Linked DNA regions of Callithrix jacchus. The main gene of each other region encodes a partner of the protein of the gene in region 2 in a complex. Links are inferred from orthologs where the notes say so. Each region holds a gene or a part of one and is shown on either strand. Other genes may lie near its edges. The genes, in order: RHO, GRK1 and RCVRN.

Evidence for each region.
Region 1: the proteins of GRK1 (region 2) and RHO are in contact, whole or in part, in a cryo-EM structure (PDB 7MT8), measured with the Bos taurus proteins. The link is inferred for Callithrix jacchus from reciprocal best matches to the Homo sapiens genes GRK1 and RHO. Residues at the interface, in NP_776598.1 of Bos taurus: Leu6, Glu7, Thr8, Val9, Val10, Ser13, Ala14, Ile16, Ala17, Ala18, Arg19, Gly20, Asp23, Ala24, Glu184, Asp185, Trp186, Phe187, Leu188, Asp189, Phe190, Val192, Arg195, Glu200, Gln205, Met206, Lys207, Lys221, Arg222, Thr256; in NP_001014890.1 of Bos taurus: Lys66, Lys67, Arg69, Thr70, Arg135, Val137, Val138, Val139, Lys141, Ser144, Asn145, Phe146, Arg147, Phe148, Glu150, His152, Leu226, Thr229, Val230, Ala233, Gln236, Gln237, Glu239, Thr243, Ala246, Val250, Met257, Ile305, Tyr306, Met309.
Region 3: the proteins of GRK1 (region 2) and RCVRN are in contact, whole or in part, in an NMR structure (PDB 2I94), measured with the Bos taurus proteins. The link is inferred for Callithrix jacchus from reciprocal best matches to the Homo sapiens genes GRK1 and RCVRN. Residues at the interface, in NP_776598.1 of Bos taurus: Phe3, Gly4, Leu6, Glu7, Val9, Val10, Ala11, Asn12, Ser13, Ala14, Phe15, Ile16; in NP_776590.1 of Bos taurus: Lys22, Trp31, Ser34, Phe35, Glu38, Cys39, Phe49, Ile52, Tyr53, Lys55, Phe56, Phe57, Tyr86, Leu90, Thr93, Ser94, Phe188, Glu189.

What each region holds. Positions count from the first base shown.
Region 1 is NC_133516.1:72,618,787-72,626,231, forward strand, and holds the start of RHO (rhodopsin), read right to left. Parts: upstream 4,266-7,445; 5' UTR 4,164-4,265; coding exon 3,803-4,163; intron 2,031-3,802; coding exon 1,862-2,030; intron 671-1,861; coding exon 505-670; intron 396-504; coding exon 156-395; intron 1-155. UniProt on the Homo sapiens protein: Photoreceptor required for image-forming vision at low light intensity. Required for photoreceptor cell viability after birth.
Region 2 is NC_133502.1:29,135,829-29,143,273, reverse strand, and holds the start of GRK1 (rhodopsin kinase GRK1), read right to left. Parts: upstream 4,409-7,445; 5' UTR 4,237-4,408; coding exon 3,538-4,236; intron 1,631-3,537; coding exon 1,503-1,630; intron 1-1,502. UniProt on the Homo sapiens protein: Retina-specific kinase involved in the signal turnoff via phosphorylation of rhodopsin (RHO), the G protein- coupled receptor that initiates the phototransduction cascade.
Region 3 is NC_133506.1:76,359,877-76,367,321, forward strand, and holds the start of RCVRN (recoverin), read right to left. Parts: upstream 5,157-7,445; 5' UTR 5,065-5,156; coding exon 4,684-5,064; intron 1-4,683. UniProt on the Homo sapiens protein: Acts as a calcium sensor and regulates phototransduction of cone and rod photoreceptor cells. Modulates light sensitivity of cone photoreceptor in dark and dim conditions.

The DNA.
Region 1 (7,445 bases), on a different chromosome or scaffold from region 2:
ATTTCTCACACGCTCCCCATTGACACTGCTGACCCGTGAGCCCCACTGCCAGTAGCCCTGATGGAGCCCCCTCCCCTGCCCTGGCACATAGCTTATCCTTAGCAGGCAGTGCCCGTGGCCTGGGGCACTGGGGCCCTCCCACCCGCAGTAGGCACCTGCTTGTTCATCATGATATAGATGACAGGGTTGTAGATGGCGGCGCTCTTGGCGAAGAACGCTGGGATGGTCATGAAGATGGGACCGAAGTTGGAGCCCTGGTGTGTGAAGATGTAGAATGCCACGCTGGCATAGGGCACCCAGCAGATCAGGAAAGCGATGACCATGATGATGACCATCCGGGTGACCTCCTTCTCCGCCTTCTGTGTGGTGGCCGACTCCTGCTGCTGGGCGGCGGCCTGCAGGGACACGGGACCCGGGTCCAGACCATGGCTCCTCCGAGGAGCAGGAGCTGTAGATGTGCGTTGGGGGCTGGACGCTCAGAGGCCACCCACCCCCAGCCCGTACCTCCTTGACGGTGAAGACAAGCTGCCCATAGCAGAAGAAGATGACAATCATGGGGATGGTGAAGTGGACCACGAACATGTAGATGACAAAGGACTCGTTGTTGACCTCCGGCTTGAGCGTGTAGTAGTCGATTCCACATGAGCACTGCAGGCCCTCAGGGATGTACCTGAGACAGGCAGGTAGGGAGACCTTGCCTGTGAGGGACTTGGGAATGGCCCCGGCCAAGGTGCCTGCCAAGCACTGGCCCTCTCTGGGGCTTCCTGTTCCCTCCCTGGAAAGGGGATCATAAAGGTCTGCGTGGCTGGGTGACAGGATGGACTGCATCCGGTGGGGATGCAGATGCACCTTGTGGAATCAGTGTCGCTTCATTGTTTGGTGGCTGCGGTACCAGATGACATGACCTAGCCTCTCCCTGCGTGCCCTGCCTCAGCATCCGCTGCCTGCTGAGCCTCAGGCTATGCCAGGCAGAGGTTGGTGAGGACGAGGGGAGAGCCCTCAGGCTCTGTATTTGCGGCAGTTTGTACAAACTAGCACCAGGGTGAGAGTATTTTCCAGGCCAAAGACAGACACACAGGGTATCTAAGGGATCTCTGTGCAGCTTCTGGAAACAAGAGGCTCCCAGGGCACATGGTTAGGACGTGGCAATGGTTCCTGATGTTGGTGGCAGTGAAATGGCCTCAGGAAACCCAGAGCGTCCAATGGCTGTGATTCCAGAGGATGGAACTAGGCCAGACTGGAGAAGATGGGGAAAAAGTCCAGGGGGTGGGCTGAGATTCAGCAAGGGGTAAGAAATGGACCCTAGCCAGTCTGAGGAGAAAAGGGAAGTGAGAGTGGGAATTTTCTGGAGGCAGAGGGACACGAGGCCTCTGGGGACCAGTCACCAGTCCTGATGTCCAAACCACCGTCCCCGCTGTGTCTCATCTCAGCCCCATTTGGAATTGCCTAGAGGCCAAATGGGACCCAGTTCCCAGGGGCCACAATATGGCCACCTGCACTAGGAAGGCGTGGCCTCCCCCACTGCTGAGGCCCAAGGTTAGAGGGGGCTGCTCCCGGGGCACTAGACCAAAGAGGATTGGAATTTGCGCCTGGCTTAGCTGAGGATTAGGGGCACAGCCAAGGTGAAGGCTTGGGATGTCTTGGATTCTCTTTGACTTGGAGCTCAGGAGGTGGGACCAGCCCTTCAGCAGCTTTAGAGTCTGTTCCTCCTTCTGTCCTACACCCTACCCTGGGTGGGCATTTGGGCCAGAAGACATTACAAGGTCAGTGTCTGGAACCAGACAGCACTGTGTTTGAGTCCTGACTGGAGGACCCTACAGAGAGCCCCTGGAGCCCCTTCCCTTCTGCCCAATGCCATTACCTGGACCAGCCGGCGAGGGGCGGTGCGGCGCAGGCCAGGGCCATGACCCAGGTGAAGGCAACGCCCATGATGGCATGGTTCTCCCCGAAGCGGAAGTTGCTCATGGGCTTACACACCACCACATACCGCTCGATGGCCAGGACCACCAAGGACCACAGGGCAATTTCACCTGCAAGGCAGCCAGCAGGCGGTCAGCATTGACCCCACTGCCTGTCTAAGGAGGGCGCACTACCCCTAGACAAGGAGAGGGTAGCTAGGAAAGCAACCTGGAGCGAGAGAGGGCCCTGAAGAGCCCTTGAGGAAGGAGAGAGCTTGATACTGGGAGGAGGAGGAAGGGGCAGAGGGACCCCACACTGAGGGGAGCTGGGCAAAGAAACTCAGTGAATGGGGGAAGTTATTTGCTTAGAGCTCTGGATGCATGAGAGACACGAATCAGATCAGTAGGTCATGACTGGACTGGGAACCCGGTAGGGTGGGGTGTGTGTGTGTGTGTGTGTGTGTGTGTGTGTGTGTGTGTGTTTTAACAGAAGAATGCATTTAAGTGTGAGGCAGAGTTCCTTGTTGGGAAGGAATGCAGAGGTGGCTGAAACCCAGAGTTGGGGTCCTTCCTCCCTCTCCCCTCTCGGGAGATGAAATAATGCAGGGCATGTGGGACCCTCTCCTAGGAACCATGAAGCATCAGGCAATGTTTTGCACAGAGGAAGAAGAAGGAAACGATGGCATTCAGACATCTGCCCTGCTCACCACCCCACGAAGTTCCACAGGGAGAGTGGCCATATAGTTTACCAACCACTCCTGACAGTGAATGGGACGATAATTATAAACTGGGACTGACCCTGCAGAGGAAAATCACCCTTTGTGGCACCCCCACCTTCTGGCCAGAACTGGGCGATCTCTGATTATTGAATGTACTAAACACCCAACAATGGCCAGAGAGTCCCTGAGAGTGGGGCCAAGGATGCTGCCTGGACATGGGGCCAGGGGGCAAGGCTGGCAGAGCCACGCTTGTGGCTGGCGCTAAGCTCTCCCTGTCACCCTGGCTTTGCAATGGCTGCCATGAGTGTCTCCTCCTGCATCTCAGCGGACACATTCCTGGATCAGTGCCAAGACCTAGGCTCTTGCTGCTGCCCAGCCACATCCCAAAATTAGTCTCTTCCCCTCTCCTGCCTCAGTTTTCCCCTCTGTTAAGTGAGATCTGTTATCTCTGCAGCACCCCCGTTTATTTTCCTGTTAAAAGCAAAACATTATTCTAAAGCATCTTTCACAGCCACATATCACCTGTGAAAGGAGTTGCTTCAGAGGGGCGGCGTGCAGCTCTTAACACCAGGAGCCCAGGAGCACGGCAGGGAGGCTGGAGGGGCACCCAAGGACAGGAGGCTGGGAGGAGAGGCAGAGGATGCCAGAGGGGACCGGCCCAACGCCCAGCACAGGGAAGACCCAATGACCGGAGGATGGAGAATCCGCTTCCTGCCCCGGGCTGGGGCCCCCAGAAAGGAGGTGTCTGGCTTGCCCAGCTCTCCCCTTGGTGCCCAGCCTGGGTCTGACCCAGCCCAGCTGCTCCGAGGGAAACAGAGGCTTGGTGTTCCGAACATGGCCCAAGGAGCAACACAGATGCGAGCTTCAAACTCAGCTCCATCCCTGTGTGACCCCCAGCAGGGCGCTCGACTTCTTTGAGCCTCAGCTCAGTTTCCTTGCTGTGAAATGAGACGAGCGCCTTGCTCCAAATAAGATCAAGGCAGTGTTCAGTGCCAGCCCTGCACAAATTGCCCAGATATCACCACGAAACGGTGTTTGTTGACTGAATATATGAGGGCTTCAGATAATGCTGACAGGAGAGGAGAAGAGAGAAGTCCTCTCAGCCACCACCGCCAAGCCTGGGACTGTCCCAGACCCCTCCATGCTCCCGGGCTCCTGCACACCCCACCCGCACCCGGCTCATACCGCCCAGGGTGGCAAAGAAGCCCTCCGCATTGCATCCTGTGGGCCCGAAGATGAAGTATCCATGCAGAGAGGTGTAGAGAGTGGTGGTGAAGCCACCGAAGACCATGAAGAGGTCAGCCACGGCCAGGTTGAGCAGGATGTAGTTGAGAGGCGTGCGCAGCTTCTTGTGCTGGACGGTGACGTAGAGCGTGAGGAAGTTGATGGGGAAGCCCAGCACAATCAGCAGGAACATGTAGGCGGCCAGCATGGAGAACTGCCATGGCTCTGCCAGGTAGTACTGAGGGTACTCGAAGGGGCTGCGCACCACGCCCGTCGCGTTGGAGAAGGGCACGTAGAAGTTAGGGCCTTCAGTGCCATTCATGACTGTGGCCCTTGTGGTTGCCCCACGGCTGCTCCCACCCAAGAATGCTGCAAAGGCCTGAGCTCAGCCACTCAGGGCTCCGGCTGGATGACTCCGGGCTCTGACCCCCCCCACCCCCCGCAGACCCTTATAAAGTGACCTCCCCCTCCTAAGCTCCTGGCTGAATCAGCATCTGAGAGATTGGGGTGTTCATAATCATATTAATCCCCGCTGCAGAAATGGAGGGCCTAATTGGCTTCCCAGAGGTCCAAGGTGACACCAGGAGGAAGCCTGAGGTCAGGGAGGGGAGGTACTCAGGACCTTGGGCAAGGGAGGAGAAGGCCCCTAACTTCTATGTGACTTGTCTGTCCCAAGGTCCCAACTCAGTCTGGTGGCCTTGGTCTGAAATGGGGACCATGGGCCTCTGTGCCATTTTTCCTGGCTTAATATGAGCTGACTTCGGATCTTTGTCTGGACTGGACTGAGAGTTTCTGGACAGCTAGAGGCTCTTGGGTTTATTCTCCCAGTCTCTCATCTCGTTATACAGCCCCTAACCTGTTTGTTCCCTCTGGGCACATCCAGTCCCCACACTCCTCCTGCAAGAGGAGCTCCACGAGGGCAGGGGTTGCATCTTCCAGCTTCCGTTCCTGGTGCCAGACAGATGGCCTGGGGCCCAGAAGCCCAATCATTGTTGCATGGAATTGGAATTCACTCTGTGAGTTTGTTCATTAAACATTTATCTGTGGGCCCCTGGGAATACAAAGATGGAAAAGAAACAGACCTGCCCAGAGTAGCTCAGGGGCTGAGGAGGACTCAGAACTGGGAAGAAGCAGATTCCGCCCAGGGTGTCTGTGAGGTTGTGGAGATGGGTCTGACTGCCTGGGGGAATGCAGCCCAGGAGGCCATGTTTGGGCCTTTGGGAGAAGGAGCAGTTTGCCAGGTGGCCGGGTGAGGAAGACCCGGGCTGGGGGCAGTTGTGATGGGTCTTGAACAGCAAGTCGAGTAACATGGCTTTATCCAGAGGGAAGTGGGCAGTGGCTTGGGCAGATCTCTGGGGTAGAAAGGTGACTCAAATGTCTCCAAAGCTAAAGTGGAGGGAGGGAGGATGGAGGGGGCTACCAGAGCAGGGGAGAGACAGAGCCCCTCAGGGACTCCAGTCTGAAGGGGAGGCCCATCCTGGAGGCAGCAGACAGGGTCCTGTTAGGGAAGGTCTGGTCAACCACGAGGGTCTCAGATGCCATGTGCCAGGTGGCCCCATGAGGGCTGGTTCCAGGACAGCAGGATGCACTGTGGGAAAGAAAGTAGTCAGAGCCTTGGGGGCAGATGGCCTGGGGGCAAATGGAGGTAGATCTCCCTCTTCAAGCTATCCAAGGAACACGATGTCACCTCCTAGGAATGAAGTGGGGTGGCCAGGGTGGCCTGTGCAGGTGCTGAGAGTGCCTGATGTTCGAACACTCAGTGACCACCGTCCAGCCAGCATGTGTACTGAGCACCTACTGTGGCCCAGACAAGGTGCTTGTGTCCCCCCTGAGTCTCCACTCGGGGGACACAAAAGAGCAAGCTCCCTTCCCCATAAGAAGCCAGTGTTTCTGTGGGGGTGGGGACACAGGGACCACAAAAGAATAATGGAGCGAGTAAGAGTGAGGACAGTTCAGTCACAGCCACTCCCAACACAGGAGGCTTCTCTGAGAAGCTGGAGCTTGAGTGGAGAGCCGGAACAACAGGCGGAAGCTTCAGGGGAAGGTCATCCGGGCAGAGGGACCCCTGCGAGTGCAGAGCCCTGAGGCCAGGAAAGTGTCCCTTAATCTCTCTCTCACCCAGGATTCCTAGATCTGTCTGTTCAGAAGGGTGCCCCCTTCCCTGCAGCCCACCTGGGCTCTAGCCCCCTGCCTGGCCTGGGCAGTGTTGGGTCTAACAGGGCTTGGCACACGTGGCAGTGCTGAGGCAGGGCGGGTGGGATGGGACCTCCTGGAGTTTAAGGTGTTTGGCCTGGTGATTATGCCCAACGCTAATGAGGTTAAGGTGGGAGTTTGATTCTGATGTGGACCCTCATGGCCAGAAGGAGGGTGTCCTGGATGCCTTGGGTCAAGACTGACCCACACCCGGCCCCTCCCTGGAAGGGCTGAGCCCCTGCCCTACACAGCTTAGCAGCACCTTGGCGCCTTGCCTGTTGCCTGGTGCTTCTGACAGCATGAAGCCTTTTGTGTTCTGTGCATGAGTTTTGTGCCGGTCTCCCTGCCTGCAACGTGAGTCCACAAGGGTGGGCCTGGGTCTGTCTTGTTCACAACAGGGTTCCCAGAGCCCAGCATGGCACCTGGCCTGTGGTGGAAAGAGGTGGGATGTTGGCTGTTTTGTTCACTGACATGCCTCCAGAGCCTGGCACCTAGAAGGTGCTCCCTGAATATTTGTTGAATGAGGGAGTGAGTGGGGGAATGGACCTGATGATCCCAGTTCTTCCGCTCTCTGTCTCAGTTTCCTCTCTTGTGAGTTTCACAATCTCAATCTCATGGAGTCCTGGTGATGAGGAAATAAGAGCCATCACTGACATGGCAGTGCTCTGTATTTGTAAAGCTTGAGAAAGAAAAAAAATTTTGAGACAAGGTCTCACTCTGTCACTCAGGCTGGAGCACAGTGGCGCAATCATAGCCCACTGCAGCCTCTGCTTCCTGTCCTCATGAGATACTCTCACCTCAGCCTCCCGAGTAGCTGGGACCACAAGTGCACACCACTAATTTTTGTATTTTTTGTAGAGATGGGGTCTCACTATGTTGCCCAGGCTGGTCTCGAACTCCCGGCTCAAGTGATCCACCCTCCTCAGCCTCCCAAAGTGCTGAAATTATATACGTGAGCCACTGTGCCCAGCCCAAGAAATTTTTTTTAAATAAAAAATGCTCTTTGTTCAGGGTAACAGGCTCACAGTAAGCTGGAAGGGTCATTTGAAGTCACCTACTCTGACCGTCTCTGCTACATTCATTTTGCAAATGAAAAGACTGAGGCTTAGGTCTGCAGGGTTGTTCAGGTCCTGTAACAAATCAGCGACAGCCTGGGCTATAACCGGCACAGCCAACCTGGCTTCATAGGGTAACAGCTTCCCAAACCTGCTTATTCCTCCCTCCCATCATCAAACACAGCTCTCAGGAAAGACCAGCCAGCCATTCACACCATGGTATAAACAACTAAAGAAAGGTTTAGCTGGGGTAATGGAAAGGCCCTGGACTGAGTGACACAGGCCTGGGGTGGGGCAATGGAAGCCTTGAGGAGAGGAGGCTGGATTCTAGCTGGTCTTTGAGTTATCACGGTAGT
Region 2 (7,445 bases):
ACGGCTCGGCCAGCATTCTGGTCGTTTTGAGGCCTGGCCCCCGCACACCGGGGCCACGGTGGCTGGCGGCCTTAGCACCTCAGGACCCTGAACTACAACTGCTAATGGGGAGAAAGGGCTGTCCCTGTGTGTCTCCGGTCCCCGGCTGCCCAGCCCTGGACGCAGGTGCTGGGAAACAGCCCAAGCCATCTCAGGAAGGGGCTGGGACGAGGTGGGACGCAGCTCCACAGGCCCGAGCTCCTCGGACGTATGAAGGATTTGCAGGAAGATTTTTCTTCTCAGCCTCTTCCTTACCCCGAAACACATCAGTTTTATGTTTTCCACTGACAGGTTCTGCAGAGAAGCAAAACCTAACAAGCAAAACCCTGGGCACCCCTGTGACTCCCCTTCCCAGCGTCCCCTCCCCTCTGCCTGGGCACCCCTGTGTCTGCTTCACAGTGCCCTCTCCCCTCCGCCTGAGCACCCCTGTGACTCCCCTTCCCAGGGCCCTCTCCCCTCCCCTCCACCTGGGCACACCTGTGCCTGCTTTGCAGTGCCACCTCTCCTCCCCTCCACCTGGGCACCCCTGTGACTCCCCTTCCCAGGGCCCTCTCCCCTCCCCTCCACCTGGGCACCCCTGTGACTCCCCTTCCCAGGGCCCTCTCCCCTCCCCTCCTCTCTCTAGGTGCCTTGTGTGGTGACTTAGTCTGGACTCACATTCCTCATCTGAACAATGGGGCTGCCAGCCTCACCTGGAGTAGTTTCCTTGGAAATTAAAAGCAGGTGAGAATGGGGCACAGTGCTGCCAACCACAGCCATGGCCCAGCCCCCCCTTACAGGTACCAGACACTCTGGGTATTTCACACACGTTGTCTGAATCTTCCAACAATCTTTGAACATAAGTATTATCTCTCCCCACCGTACAGACCAGAAAACAGAGCAAGCAGTGGCCAAGGGCCAGGTACCAAGCAGGTCTCTGCCCCACTGCGAGCCTGAGATCTGATCTCCCACCCGGGCCTGGGGCCTGCCTCAGAGGCAGATCTGGGGCCAGGACTTTGTGGAGGCAGTGGCACCTCCTCTCTGCCAGGGCACAGCAAAGCCACGGCCCCCAATTGGTCTTGTCTCCAGCTCCGGCGTCAGCCCTACGAGTGGGTGCTGGTGAAGTCCATCTTCATTTACCCTCCTGGTGCAAGGCCCCCAGCCCTGCAGAGGCCCCCCCACTGCATCATTTGTCCCCTGAGGCACCACCTGCCCCCCACACACCAGGGTGCACACAGGATGTGCCCTGACTGGCAGGTTGGGCACCTCCCGGGCTCCTGCACTGACGTGGGTCCGAGGTGCATTGTTTCAGGGACCAGCGCCTGCAGACAGTGAGAAGGGGACTGTGATGGGGGCAAGGCTTTCCCTTGAGGGCAGGGCTTGGCTGCCATGGCTCTGCACATGGGAAGCAGCCCCATCAGACCCTGGAAACCCTGACACAGTGGGAAAGCAGGTCCCCTGGCACCTTCCTGACCAGCCCTTACCTGAGGTCGCCTCCGTTCATGATGGTCATCACTAGACAGAGGTCGGCTTTGGTTTCAAATGCGTATGCCAGAGACACGATGAACCTGTTGTGCACCTTCATCAGAATCTTCTTCTCCACCATAGCACCCTGAAAAGTGAGATGTTGCATCAGTGCTGGCTTTGAACAGGAAAGGGGCCAGGGCATCGCAGAGACCGTGTGCACACGGCCATGCCCACTGCACCCACAGCCACTAAACAGAGTTGCAAACACACTTTAAATGCAGCTTTCACAAAGCAATTGCAAAGGACTTCAAAACATGCCCGCACCCCTATATCAGAAAATCACACATGTGAAATCCTTCACATACAGGGGCTTCTGGCCTTCTGGGCCAGCCTCCGGCAAGGTGAGGCTCGAGCCCAAGGCTGAGCAACACGGATGAGGACGCCAGCAGCCTGGCCTGCCCAGCAGTCCTGCAGCCACAGCCCCCTCTCGTCCTGGCCCCGGGGGCTGGGCTCACAGCCCAGCGCCTCCCAAACCTCCTCACGACTCTGCTTTATTTTGTCTGTGAGACCTCACGATGCTCCAACTTACAGGTTGATGCTCAACCTATAAGTGTGTGGGTCAGGACAGCACACCCCTCTTTGAAGAAGGAATTGCGGCTAGAGGAGGAGGCCCCTCTGTCTGCACTTCATGGGGAGGTGTTCAGTTGGTCTCAGTATGAAGTTCAGTCAGGTGACCGAAGTCAGGAGAAGAGGCTAATTGTTGGGTTAAACTGACAGGTAGATGTGAATGGCATGGTGTGAGAATCAGATGTCAAGAAAGCTCATTTTTAGAATCACTGCTACAAGCACACGGCACGGCTACTCCCCCTGAGTTCCACGGTGAGAACACCCAGGTGTTCCGGGGCCTCTGCCCAGCGCCACGAGCACCTGATATTTTGCCTTCACTCAGGGCTGAGGGCCTGCAGAGCCAGGGTGCACAGCAGCTGCTGCTTTGCCCTGAGAGCTTCCCGTGCCCTCAACATGGCTGCGCGGTAGGAGAGAGGCCAGGAGCCTCGTGGAGCCGAAGTGCAGGGGGCTGGCTCAGGAGATCACATCCACGCCCGGCACGGCCACTGCATCTTGCCCTTAAGACCTGTAAGCAGCTTCTGCTGATCCTGGCCCAGATGCACAGTCTGACGCCAGCGGGGCAGAGCGGATGAAACTCAGCACCACCGGCATGCCTGTCACTCACTCCCACCCCAGAGAACAGCCACACTCGGGGAAACAGTCCCTGCACCTGGCATCACACCAGGCTCCGTCCGTCTCACACAAACGAGTCATCAGAGCGAGGCTGCCTCCGCCTCCATCCTGCCTCAGTTCCTCCTGCATTCTCTGCTATGATCAGAGCCAGGGACAGAAAGTCTTCCGCAGTCAGGACAAAGAATCCGGAGACCCCCGCCGTCCACAGCCTCCTCTGCGAGGCCCTCTTTCCATCTATTCTGTGACTGGTGAAAAACTGACAACTGAACGTGACACATCCCCACCCAAAAACGTGGAAGCCACTCTCCAAGGGAGACGGATGCTAACTGCCTGTGAGCGCATGGTCACAGGGATCCCAGTGTCGAGGCTGGCGTGCCTTAGGCACCAGCTGCTGAGGGCGACCTGGGGGCCCTCTCCACCCTGCTCCCACCCCTGCCAGCTGGGCCGTGCGGCTCACCTGGTAGCCCTTCCTCCTCCGGCCGCTGAGGGCGACCTGGGCCCTCTCCACCCTGCGCCCACCCCTGCCAGCTAGGCCATGCGGCTCACCCGGTAGCCCTTCCTCCTCCGGCCGCTGAGGGCGACCTGGGCCCTCTCCACCCTGCTCCCACCCCTGCCAGCTGGGCCGTGCGTCTCACCTGGTAGCCCTTCCTCCTCGGGCCGCTGAGGACGACCTGGGCCCTCTCCACCCTGCTCCCACCCCTGCCAGCTGGGCCGTGCGGCTCACCTGGTAGCCCTTCCTCCTCCGGTCGCTGAGGGCGACCTGGGCCCTCTCCACCCTGCTCCCACCCATGCCAGCTGGGCCGTGCGGCTCACCTGGTAGCCCTTCCTCTTCTTCAGCCGCTTTTTGTTCAGCTTCTTGCAGGCGTACAGCTTGCCGGTGGCCTTCATCTGGCAGGCCGACACCTCCCCGAAGCCGCCTTTCCCCAGGACCCTGAAGTCCAGGAACCAGTCCTCCCCCATGGGCTGGGCTTCCAGCCACTTCCACTGCAGGAACCTCAGGAAGTGCAGGCTGTCCAGGTACTCCTGGAAGGGGGCTTGGCTCAGGTGTGCCAGGGTGGCCTGTAGCACAGGCTGGAAGAGCCTGTCTTGGCTCTCCACAGACCCTTCCTTACACTTGGTCACCGACCCCTCATCCAGGAAGCTGCAGAAGAGCTTGGCCTGAGGGTCCAGGTACTGGGCCAGTATGGTCTTGGCCTTCTGCGGCCGGAGGTCGTTGTCCACTGTGTCGTAGTCCTCGATGTCTTTCCAGAGCTCCAGGGCCGGCAGGTGCTTCTCCCCCGACTGCAGGAACTGCCAGAAGAGCTTCTTGCCGATGGGCTGCTGCACGCACACGCTCTCGAACTCCAGGCTGAGGCTGCTGCGGAGGGACTCACACTTGGACAGCGGGGGCAGCTTGAGCTTGGCCAGGTACTTCTTGTCCCGGGAGGACTGGGAGCTGCTCCCGTCAAAGCTGCCTCGGGCGGCGATGAACGCAGAGTTGGCCACCACAGTCTCCAGGGACCCGAAATCCATCCCGGAGCTGGCTTCCTGCCCGCCTCAGGCGTGAGGGCCCATTGGCCGAGGCCAAGCCTGCGGCACTCACAGCCAGAGCAGGCCTGACTGCTCCCCTTGGCCTGTGGCCCGCCCCTGCCCTTGCTGGACGAGGGAGATGCCCTGGCCGTGCCAAGGGTGCCTGGGGACCACTGGGGAGCCCCTGGGAGCCCAGAGCTGACACTGCACCAGGCTAAATCCCAGTTGGGGTCACTGAGGACGCTTAGGAGAGGCAAGAAGGTGCTAGAAAAAGACAATCCCCTGAGCCGCTTGGAATCCGATTAGACATTCTGCCCAGCCCCTTCCTCCGAGGGGCCGCGTGGCTTTTCCCCTGAGAACAAACAACCCCCAGGCTTCTGGGGCCCCGGGCTGGAGAGGCACTCAAAGCTGTGTTCTGAACTGCCGCAGCCACTCCCAAGGGGCCGGACAGGAGAGTGTGGTACGAGAAGAAACCTTAATTTATGAAGGCTGTTTTCCCTGCTCTATTTCATTTTTATTTTTAAGAAAATAGCAAGTGAGAAGAAAACCACCTGATAATAGGAATTTAGAGAGGAAACAAGCCCACAGTGAAAAGCTTCCTGGGGGGAACAGCTTTCTGTGGGGACACCAGCTCTTATGGAGGGTTCAACTCCCGTCACTTTTCTTCTACTCACCTGGCATTTGCAGGCAAGGCAGTATTGCCCAGAGATAGTTGCAGGTGACACCAGCACCAGGGAGCAGAAGATCCCCAGAGCTACACCAAACCAAGGCTCCACTCAGAAGGGCACATGTGGAATACAGCTGGGGCACACCCGGGACACAGCTGGGGTACAGCTGGAATCCACCCAAGACACACCTGGGACACAGCTGGGGAAACACCTGGGCACACCTGAGACAGCTGGAGCACACCTGGGGCACACCTGGGACACACCTGGAGTACATCTGAGGAACACCTGAAATACCTAAAATGCAGCTGGAGCACACTTGGGACCCACCCAGGACACACCTGGGGCAGCTGGGGCACACCTGGGACATACCTGGGGCACACCTGGGGCATACCTGGGCACACCTGAGATAGCTGAGACTGCTGGGGCACACCTGGGGCACATCTGGGGACAGCTGGGACACACTTGAGACACCTGGGCACACCTGGGACACACCTGTGACACACCTGAGAGCTGGGGCACACCTGGAATCCACCTGGGACACACCTGGAACACAGCTGGGGAACACCTGGGGCACACTTGAGACAGCTGGAGCACACCTGGGCCATGCCTGAAACACCTAAAATGCAGCTGAGGCACAGTTGGAATCCACCTAGGACACACCTGGGGCAGCTGGGGCACACCTGAAACACATCTGAGGCATACCTAGGACACACCTGGGGCACATCTGGGGCACATCTGGGGGACAGCTGGAACACACCTGAGACATCTGGGAGACAACTGGGACCCACCTGGGGCACATCTGGGACAGACAGGGACAGCTGGGACACACCTGAGACACCCCTGGGACATACCTGGGGGACAGCTGGGACACACCTGGGATGCACCTGGGGGACAGGTAGGACATACCCGAGACACTTGTGGCACACCTGGGACACACCTGTGACACACCTGCAGATGGTCGCACCAATAGGAGTGTCAGCTTCATGAGGGCATGGCCCTGCCTGTCTTATTCCAGCACACAGTAGGTACTACATAAGGTTTGGAGAAGAATGAGGAGATGTGAGCAGGGTGTTGGGTCCAACTCACACAGAGAAAAAGCAAAGGATCCCAGAAAGGAAGAATGGCAGAGCGAGCAGAAGTTGAGACCGCCAGCCCACCATGTTCGACAAAGGAGAAAAGGCACCTGTGGGAGGGCACCAGGGCTGCACCTGGGTGCAGGGTCCTCTGTAGCAACCAAAGAGGCTGAGGCGAGGTCCCTATGGCCTCCAGAGAGCTTTGGCAGGTGGATCATGAGTAAATATTTGAGCTGAGTGATATCCCAGGAGCCCTGCAGGGGCCCAGCCCTGCCCTTCACAGCGGTGACCTTGGTGACCTTGGGCTGATCACTTTAACTCCTTCCTGCCTGCTCACCCATCAGGGCAACTGCAGAGCTTTGTGAAGTGAAGTCGCCTCTGCTGATGTCTCCCTGCCTGTCCTGGGCCACACCTCAAACATCTACGGACACAGATTGCCCAGAGACTTTGCTAGAATAAAGACTCTGCTTCAAGAGGCCAAGATCGTGCACCTGTAAAGAAGTCCGCAGGTGATGCGGATGCTGCGGAGATGCAGGGTCTGAGGAGGACAGTTTCCCATTGGATTGGAGGCTGTTCCACGTGTGGTCATGTTGAGAAGCATTTGGTTAAACCAGGTTAAATATGTTAAACAAGCAAAGTTAAAAATATGTTAAATATGCCCATCACAGAGCTTACTTAGTGATTTCAGGGTGAACGTGGCTCTCAAAAAAGAAGTACACAGTTTCCCAAATTCATTTGGCTCTGGAAATCCCTTTCTAATTAAACTATTTTGTGATAATTATAGATTTACATGCAGTGTTAAAAAACAATCCAGAGAGGTCCTTCACTCCGTTTCCCGTAGTGATGGCATCTTGCCAAGTAACGAGGATACTGACATCCATACGGTCTAGACGAAGGCTGCCTCCATCCATGAGACCCTCCTGGGCCCCTCACAAATGGCACCCATGTTCCTCCAGCCTGTCCTTCTCAACACCCGGCAACCACCCCTTCTCCAGGAACGCTGTATGAATGGAGTCAGACAGGATGTGGCCTTTTAGGGTCCGAATCTTTCACTCAGCACAGTCGTCCACGGGAACACCCACACCTGGGTGTGTCAGCCACTCCCTCCTCACCTCCGAGTTGTGCTCCGCGGAAGAGGCGCCGCAGCCTGTTTCCGTTCACCGGCTGCAGGACGCCTGGGTCTTTTCCCGTGTTTAGCTATCGTGAATGAAGCTGCTGTGGACATCGGTGTAGCCTCTGTGTGGACACACGTTTCTATTTCTCTGGGATAAATGCTGGGTCACACAGTAATTGCACATTTAGTTTTGAAGACACCTGCAAGCTCTTTTCTGGAGTGGCCAAGCCATTTCCCGTTCCCACCAGCGAGGGCGAGCAGCTCCCTCCTCAGGGTCCTCCCCAGGGTTTAGCGCTGCCACCCTCCCGGCAGGTGTGGGGTATTTCCATAAGGTTTTAATTCACATTTCCCTAACGG
Region 3 (7,445 bases), on a different chromosome or scaffold from region 2:
GAGGTTCTCATAAGGGGCAGGGAATTTGGGGAAAAGGAAAAGAAGCCGTTCACTTCTTATTTTGTACCTTTCTGTATTGTTTGATTTTCTGGCCATGTAGACATATTAATTTCACTTGTTTTTAAAAATGAAAATAAGAAAGAAAAAGCTTCCCGATGAAAATGTTATAGCAGCCTCTTAAGAAGACGTGCAAGTGGTCAGCAGGTATCTAAAAACATTACTGATGTTTTAGAGGTTGGAGTTTGGGAATCACTACCTCAGACCCTACTACCCAGAGGTTTTAGAATAGTAAACCTCTTCTTCTGGGTTCATAAGTCAGTAGGACTGGCTTATGGCAATAACGGCTAACATTTGTTGAGTGCTTAATAGGTGTTACTCTCTTTTATTTTCTTGTTTCTTTTCTTCTTCATTTTCTTTTTTCTTTCTTTTTTGTTTTGTTTTGTTTGTTGGTTTTTTTTTTTTTTTTTTTGAGACAGGGAGGGTTTTTTTTGTTGCCTAGGCTGGAGTGCAGTGGTGCAATCATGGCTCACTGCAGCCTTGATGTGCTGGGCTCAAGCAATCCTCCCACCTCAGTGTTCTGAGTATCTGGGACTACGGGTGCACACCACCATGCTCAGCAAATTTTTTGAATTTTTTTGTAGAGATGGGGTCTCACTGTGTTGCCCAGGCTGGTCTCAAACTCCTGAGCACAAGAGATCCTTTCACCTTGGCCTCCCAAAGTGCTTGGATTATAGGCATGGGCCACTATGCCTGGCCTAGTTATCACTTTTCTAAAGATTTTTACACCTCATCTTCACAATAACCTTATGAAGAAGGCTTTATCGGTCCCATTTTATGGAAGAAGAAATTGAGACAACTAACTTGCTGGAAGTCACCCAGCTAGAAGTAGAAGGGCAGAGATTTGAACCCAGGCATTTTAGTTCTAGAACTGGTACACCCTGGGTTATGCCATAGCCCACTCACCTCCTTATTACTGGAAGGGCCTGGAGGGCATTGGGCAAGCCTGGGGGAGGGAGAGGAAGGCATCAACAAGAACGTTTCAAAGGTCTTCCTATGGCACGGGAAGCCCCTCATTTAACCTTCTGCTCAAGGAGGGATTCAGAGAAAGGCTTAGCTTTGGGATCAAGGATCCCATCCTTCTCACCTCCCTCCCCCCTAATAAAGCAGCTGGGTATGCAGTATAGGGGAAGCATGAAGTGCCCCAGACCTGTGAGATGCAGGGACAAAGGAGCACCCTTCCAGCTCCAAGTTTCTAGGATTCCACTGGCCCAGGAACACCAGTGCCAGCCAGGTCCAGAAGGGACACCCAAGGCAGTAGGTCCTTGGATGCTGAGGACAGGCAGGTATGTTGGGTGGGAGTTGGGAGGTTACTGGCTCTGGCCAGAGCCTTTTGTCTCCCTGGAGACACCTGTGAGCAGGTCAGGCAGGGGCAATAATGGCTATGAAATTATTCTTGAGGGAAGGCTTTGAGAAGTTCTCCTTCAGCCCCCTGGTGCTGGAAAAAGGAGCAGGGAGACCAAAGGCAGCAGCCCAAGGCAGCAGCCTTGCTGGCAGCACCCAGAGCCCTGAGGTGGACACAAGTAGGTGCCTCCCACACTCATCTTGGTCTGTGCAGGGCCTGGGGTACCATGTGCAGGTGTGCCAGCTGAAGCTGGGAGTGACTGCCTGCCCACCCCACTTCCAACATGGAGGGACAGACCTTCAGGGTCTTAGAAAAGGCTTCAAAAATAATCAAATCCTCACCCTGGGTCCAGGAAGGTTATATGGTTTTCCCACAGCAACACAGCTAGTTGGAATCAGAGCAGGGGCTAGAATCCTTCACTTGTGACTCCCCCACGGAGTGCTCTGCCCATGAACTTGTAATCTGGTGAATAGCAGAGCCTTCTGTCACCTTGCACAGCCTCAGCCACTGATGGCTTCTCCCTCCCTCCCTTTCTTCTTTCTTCTTTTCTCTCCTCCTTTCCTTCTCCTCCCTCCCTTCTTTCCTCCCCCTTGCTTCCCTCTCTTTCCTTCCTGACTCCTATCCCGCCTCTTTCCCTCCATCCGCCTTTTCTTCAAGGAGTATCCATTTGTAGGCTTCTGCTAGGCCCCGCATTTTTTATGCATCTCTGAAGACTTAGTCCCTGTCCCAGGCCACCCAGAGACCCCACAACCAATCCTGGGGAGCTCCTCTGCAGGCTGTGCTGAGATAGCAATGAGGGTGACACATACCTGCCGGAACAGGAGACCCGAGCCGAGCACTGAGCATAAACCCATGGACCACAAGCCGTATGCTTTGCTGTTTTATTTATGGTTTCTCCTAATAAAAGTGGAAGATTTTCGTGCATTTGCAGTCATGCAAATGAAAGCATGATTAAAAATGCACAAAACAGTCTGTCTACTAACAGAAATGGAATTAGAACAATAAACCAATGGCAGGGGCAGCAGGACTGAAAAAGAACAAGTAAAAAATATCAAATGAAGGAAATGAGAACTGGTAAAATAGGAAAGAAATGGAAACACCCTAATGTCCAAAAACATAGGAATGTTAAATAATTTCCACATTTCCGTAAGCTAGAACTCCAAACAGCTATTAAAAGTGTTTTGGAAGAGGTTGGGTGCGGAGGCTTATGCCTATAATCACAGCACTTTGGGAGACCGAGGTGGGTGTATTATATGAGGTCAGGCATTCAACACCAGCCTGGCCAACATGGCAAAAACCCATCTCTACTGAAAATACAGAAATTAGCTGGGTGTAGTGCCAGGTGCCAGTAATCGCAGCTGCTTGGGAGGCTGAGGCAGGACAGGAGAATTGCTTGAACCTGTGAGGCAGAGGCTGCAGTGAGCTGAGATCATGCCACTGCACTCCAGCCTGGGCGACAAGAGCAAAACTCTGTCTGAAGAAAAAAGAAGTGTTTTGGAAGAATATGTAATGATATGGAAAGCACTCATGATAAAAGAAAATGTATGATAAAAATCATATGTGAATATGTCATAGCTTTAACATTGTTTAAAATTATATAGATAAAAGACTGAAAAGGTTCCTATTGATACAGCAAGAAAAGTTTTCCCTGGATGTTGGAATTAGAGGCAGTTTTTAGTCTCTTTTGCCTATGCTTTTAAATTTCATCAGTTACTTCTAACAGATAAACCATTTTCAAGACACCTATTAGGTTGGTGCAAAGTAATTGTGGTTTTTGCCATTGCTTTCACAACAAAGGATCTCACATGAGGACACTATGGATGGAGAAGGTGTGCTGGGAACCATGTGGAAGCATGTGTGCCTCACAGGGAACCTGCCAGGAGCCAAGGAACCTGCCAAGGAGCCGCCGCATGTGGGAAGCGGGGGCTCATGCGTGGTGCGGGTGGTGCGGGTGGTGCGGTGACCCACCTGGCGCTGGGGAGAACCTTAAGACTAGAACTCAGAGTTTACTCAACTTTGACCTTTTTCGACTTTATATTTGAAGCATATTGTGTGTTTAGAATTAATCATTGATTCAACTTGAATGTGTACTGCTGAAAATTTTAAAGGACTTTTTTGTTTGTTTCTTTGTTTGAGATGGAGTTTTGTTCTTGTTGCCCAGGCTGGAGTGCAATGGCGCAATCTCAGCTCACCACAACCTCCACCTCTTGGGTTCAAGCGATTCTCCTGCCTCAGCCTCCCGAGTAGCTGAGATTACAGGCATGCACCACCACATACGGCTAATCTTGTATTTTTAGTAGAGATGGGGTCTTTCCATGTTGGTCAGGCTGGTCTCAAACTCCTGACCTTAGGTGATCTGCCCACCTTGGCCTCCCAAAGTGCTGGGATTACAGGCGTGAGCCACCTTGCCTGGCCTAAAGGACATTTTAATAAAGGAAGGACGAAACGAAGGATGGAGAGAGAGAAAAAAAATGTAAATATAGTCACGTGTCACTCAAAGACAGGAATACATTCTGAGAAACACATCATTAGGCAGTTTCCAGGTGGGGACATCATACAGCGTCCTCACACAAACCCAGAGAGTGGAGCCTACAACACCCCCTGACTCGGTGGTCCAGCCTTTTGCTCCTAGGCTACAAACCCATGCAGCATGTGGCTGTCCTGAATGCTGCAGGCAGTTATCACATGATGGTTAGTATTTGTGGATCTAAATGTATTTAAATATAGAAATCATACAGTAAAAATACAGTATAAAGACCTGTCTAGGGCACTTACCTTGAGGGGAGCTTGCAGGATTGGGAGTCGCTCTGGGTGAGTCAGTGAGTGAGTGGGGAGTGCATGTGAACACCCAGGACATTACTGTACTCTACTGCAGACTTTCTAGATGCTCTACACTTAGGCTACACTAAATGCATTTGAAAAATCAAGTAACTTTGCTATGACATCACTAGACAATAGGAATTTTTCAGCTCCATTACGATTTCATGGGACCACAATGATATATATGGTCTATTGTTGACCTGAACATGGCTAAGCCACGCGTCACAGGACTGTATTAGAAAACACTCAGATTCTTCTTCAGGAAGAAAATGAAGCTGTGGGCAAGTGCCCACCCCTCTTACCAATATCAGCATCTTGGAGCACCACTCTCTCAGAGCCAGTGTGGCCTGAATCCCCCCTCCACCCACAGCTCTACTCCCACTGCAGCAGCCGCAGCAGGGGACTCCCCAGCCCTGAGTGACCCCAGCACCACCCAGCCAGAAGGGGAGAGGGACACTGACTAGGACGATCTCCAGCACTTCATTCTTGCTGATGGTCCCATTGCCATCCACGTCATAGAGGGAGAAGGCCCACTCCAGCTTCTGGTTGGTCTTGCCCGCGGTGGTCATATGCAGGGCGATGATGTACTCCTTGAAGTCCAGGGTGCCGTCGAGGTTGGAATCGAAGCTGCGGAACACATGCTGGGCGTAGGCCTTGGGGTCAGCATCGGGGAAGAACTTGGAGTAGATGTTCTGGAACTGCTGCTGGGTGATGCGGCCGCTGGGGCAGTCTCTCAGGAAGGACTGGTACCAGGTGGACAGCTCCTCCTCTGAGAACTTGGTGTTCAGCTGCAGCTCCTCCAGGATCTCCTTGGACAGGGCCCCACTTTTGCTGTTCCCCATGGGTAAGGAAGAGTGGGCAGCAGCTGGGGAGTCGCTGGGTGGGTGGGACGTGTGTGGTGCCCTGGCTGCAGGCTGGGGCTCAGGGCTGCTGTGAGCTGAAGACGGAGATGCTGGTGGCTTAGGAGGATTTGAGACCAGTTCTTCCCAATCCTTGAAGGGAGGAGGGGCCCAGGAGCTTTGTGGAGGTGGTGGTGGTGGGGAGGGCGGTGGGGGGATGCTCCCAGAACGCTATTGAGATTAAAGCAAAGAGCCCAGGGCAGGCAGGCAATTCATCTTGGCCTCCTGGAAGGATACCAGAACAAAACAGGAGGTTGGAACCTTCAGAGCTCTTGTACCACTAGAGCTCTAAGGCAACCATGTTCCCTGTTTCTCTTCCTTACTAACTCTGAGTGTCTCAGGGAGGGCTGGCATCTCCCACTGAGCCCTAGAATTCAGTTGTTAGGAGCACAGGCTCTGGAGCCAACATTGGTTCAAATCCCAGCTTGGCTACTTAACTAGCTATGTGACCTCAGGCATGTTTCTTAACCTCTTTCCACCTGGGACAATCTTCTAATCCTTCACTGCAGTCACGTTTCTGCTTAAATGTCACCTTCCTGGCTAGGCCTATGTATACTGACCCTCTATCTATAACAGCACACCATCATTGGCATGCCCCATGTCCCCTCACCAGAATGAAAGCTCCTGAAAGACGGGATTTTGTCTGTGTTGTTCCCAGATGCATTTCCATGGCCAGAACAGTGCCTGACAAGCTTGGGCCCCCAGTAAGTCTTTCTTGAATAAATGGGCATCATAGCGTCTACCTCACCATCATGGTGGGGCTGAAGTGAGTCAATACGTGCGACACGCTTAGAATAGAACCTGGCACACAGCTAATGCTAAACACTTACTCGTTTTCTTGCTGTTCATCGGTCACAGAGAGTGAAGGTAAACTCCCTGTCGGCGGGTGGCCAGCAGGTGGGAGGGACAGCAGGGAGCAGCCAGGCCTGTGTCGCCTTGAGAAGGGGCTGCCAGCAAATGTGGTCCCATGGGATCGTGATTTTTTTTTTTTTAAATGATTTAAGAGAAATAAAAAAATCAGAGTTTTAGATGCAGTTTGCACACTTTTCAGCTTTGGCAATTGATTGGAAATTTTCAAAAACACGGTGTGGGCTAAACACAATCTATCTGTGGCTCCATGCCCGTCTGCAGCGGAGCACAGCGCTGGGAGTGAGCAGGCAGGAAAATGTGTTTGCTGAGTGAATGGGTAAATCCCTGAGTGGCCAAGAGAGGGAGGTGTGTGAGGGCAGGCTTCGCATCCCAGGGGAGTACCGACTGAGCAGTGAGGATGCTGCACACCTGGATTCTTATCACCCAGAGGGAAGGGAGTGTGGGCGTGCACTTTGCTTAGCAGAGAGCAATGCTTCACAGGGGGTGAGGGAATGGGGGCGGTCAGGACACACTCAGAACCCCAGCCTTGCCACTGTGGATGGAGAGTTGTCACTTTTTGCCCTGGGGTGAGAATCATGAAGAATAAACCCTTCAGTCTTCAGGCAGGTAAAGTGTATTTTTTTTAGATCGAGTCTACCTCCATTGTTTAGGCTGGAGTGCAGTGGTACAATCTTGGTTCACTGCAACCTCTGCCTCCTGGATTCAAACAATTCTCCTGTATCAGCCCCCAGAGAAGCTGGGACTACAGATGTCTGCCACCATGCTCAGCTGAGTTTTTTCTTTTTCTTTCTTTTTTTCTTTTAGTAGAGTCGGGGTTTCACCATATTGGTCAGGCTGGTCTCGAACTCCTGACATCAGATGATCCACCTGCCTCGAATCTCAAGGTGTAATGTGTGGGTTTTAGCCTACTTCCTAACAGGCTAGTGGCAGCAGAAGGTAGGTCCTTGCTGCTGGGAGAAGGCCACCTGCCAGGCCCACCTGATGTCGCTCAGGAAGGAATGAGAGATTCAGGCACTGAGGGACTGACTCATCCCTCCCAGCCACCCTGCTCACTGCAATTTCAGAAGTTTCTCAAGAAACCTGAATGTTGGTGTGTGTGTGTGTGTGTGTGTGTGTGTACTTTCTAATGTTTCCCATCACTTTGTGAGAAAATATAATTTCTTAACAGGACTCCTTTCTCTCCTAGGCTTTCACCATCCTGCAGTGTGCATTTATTCTCAAGAGCAGTTAGAAATAGGACGGTCACCAATCTCAAAAACAAATGAACCAAGCGAGCCCAAGCCACACTTTGGAATCGCATTCACTTCCAGAGCTTCCTTGCCGCCCTGAGGCAGCTCTGGGGATGTAGGGAGTGTGAGGCCAGAGGCCTCGGCCCTTTGCTCTGAGCTGCAAGTGGGAGGCCAAGGGAAGCGCTTCCTGGATCACACTCCTGTCGGCATCAAGCCTGCAGATGG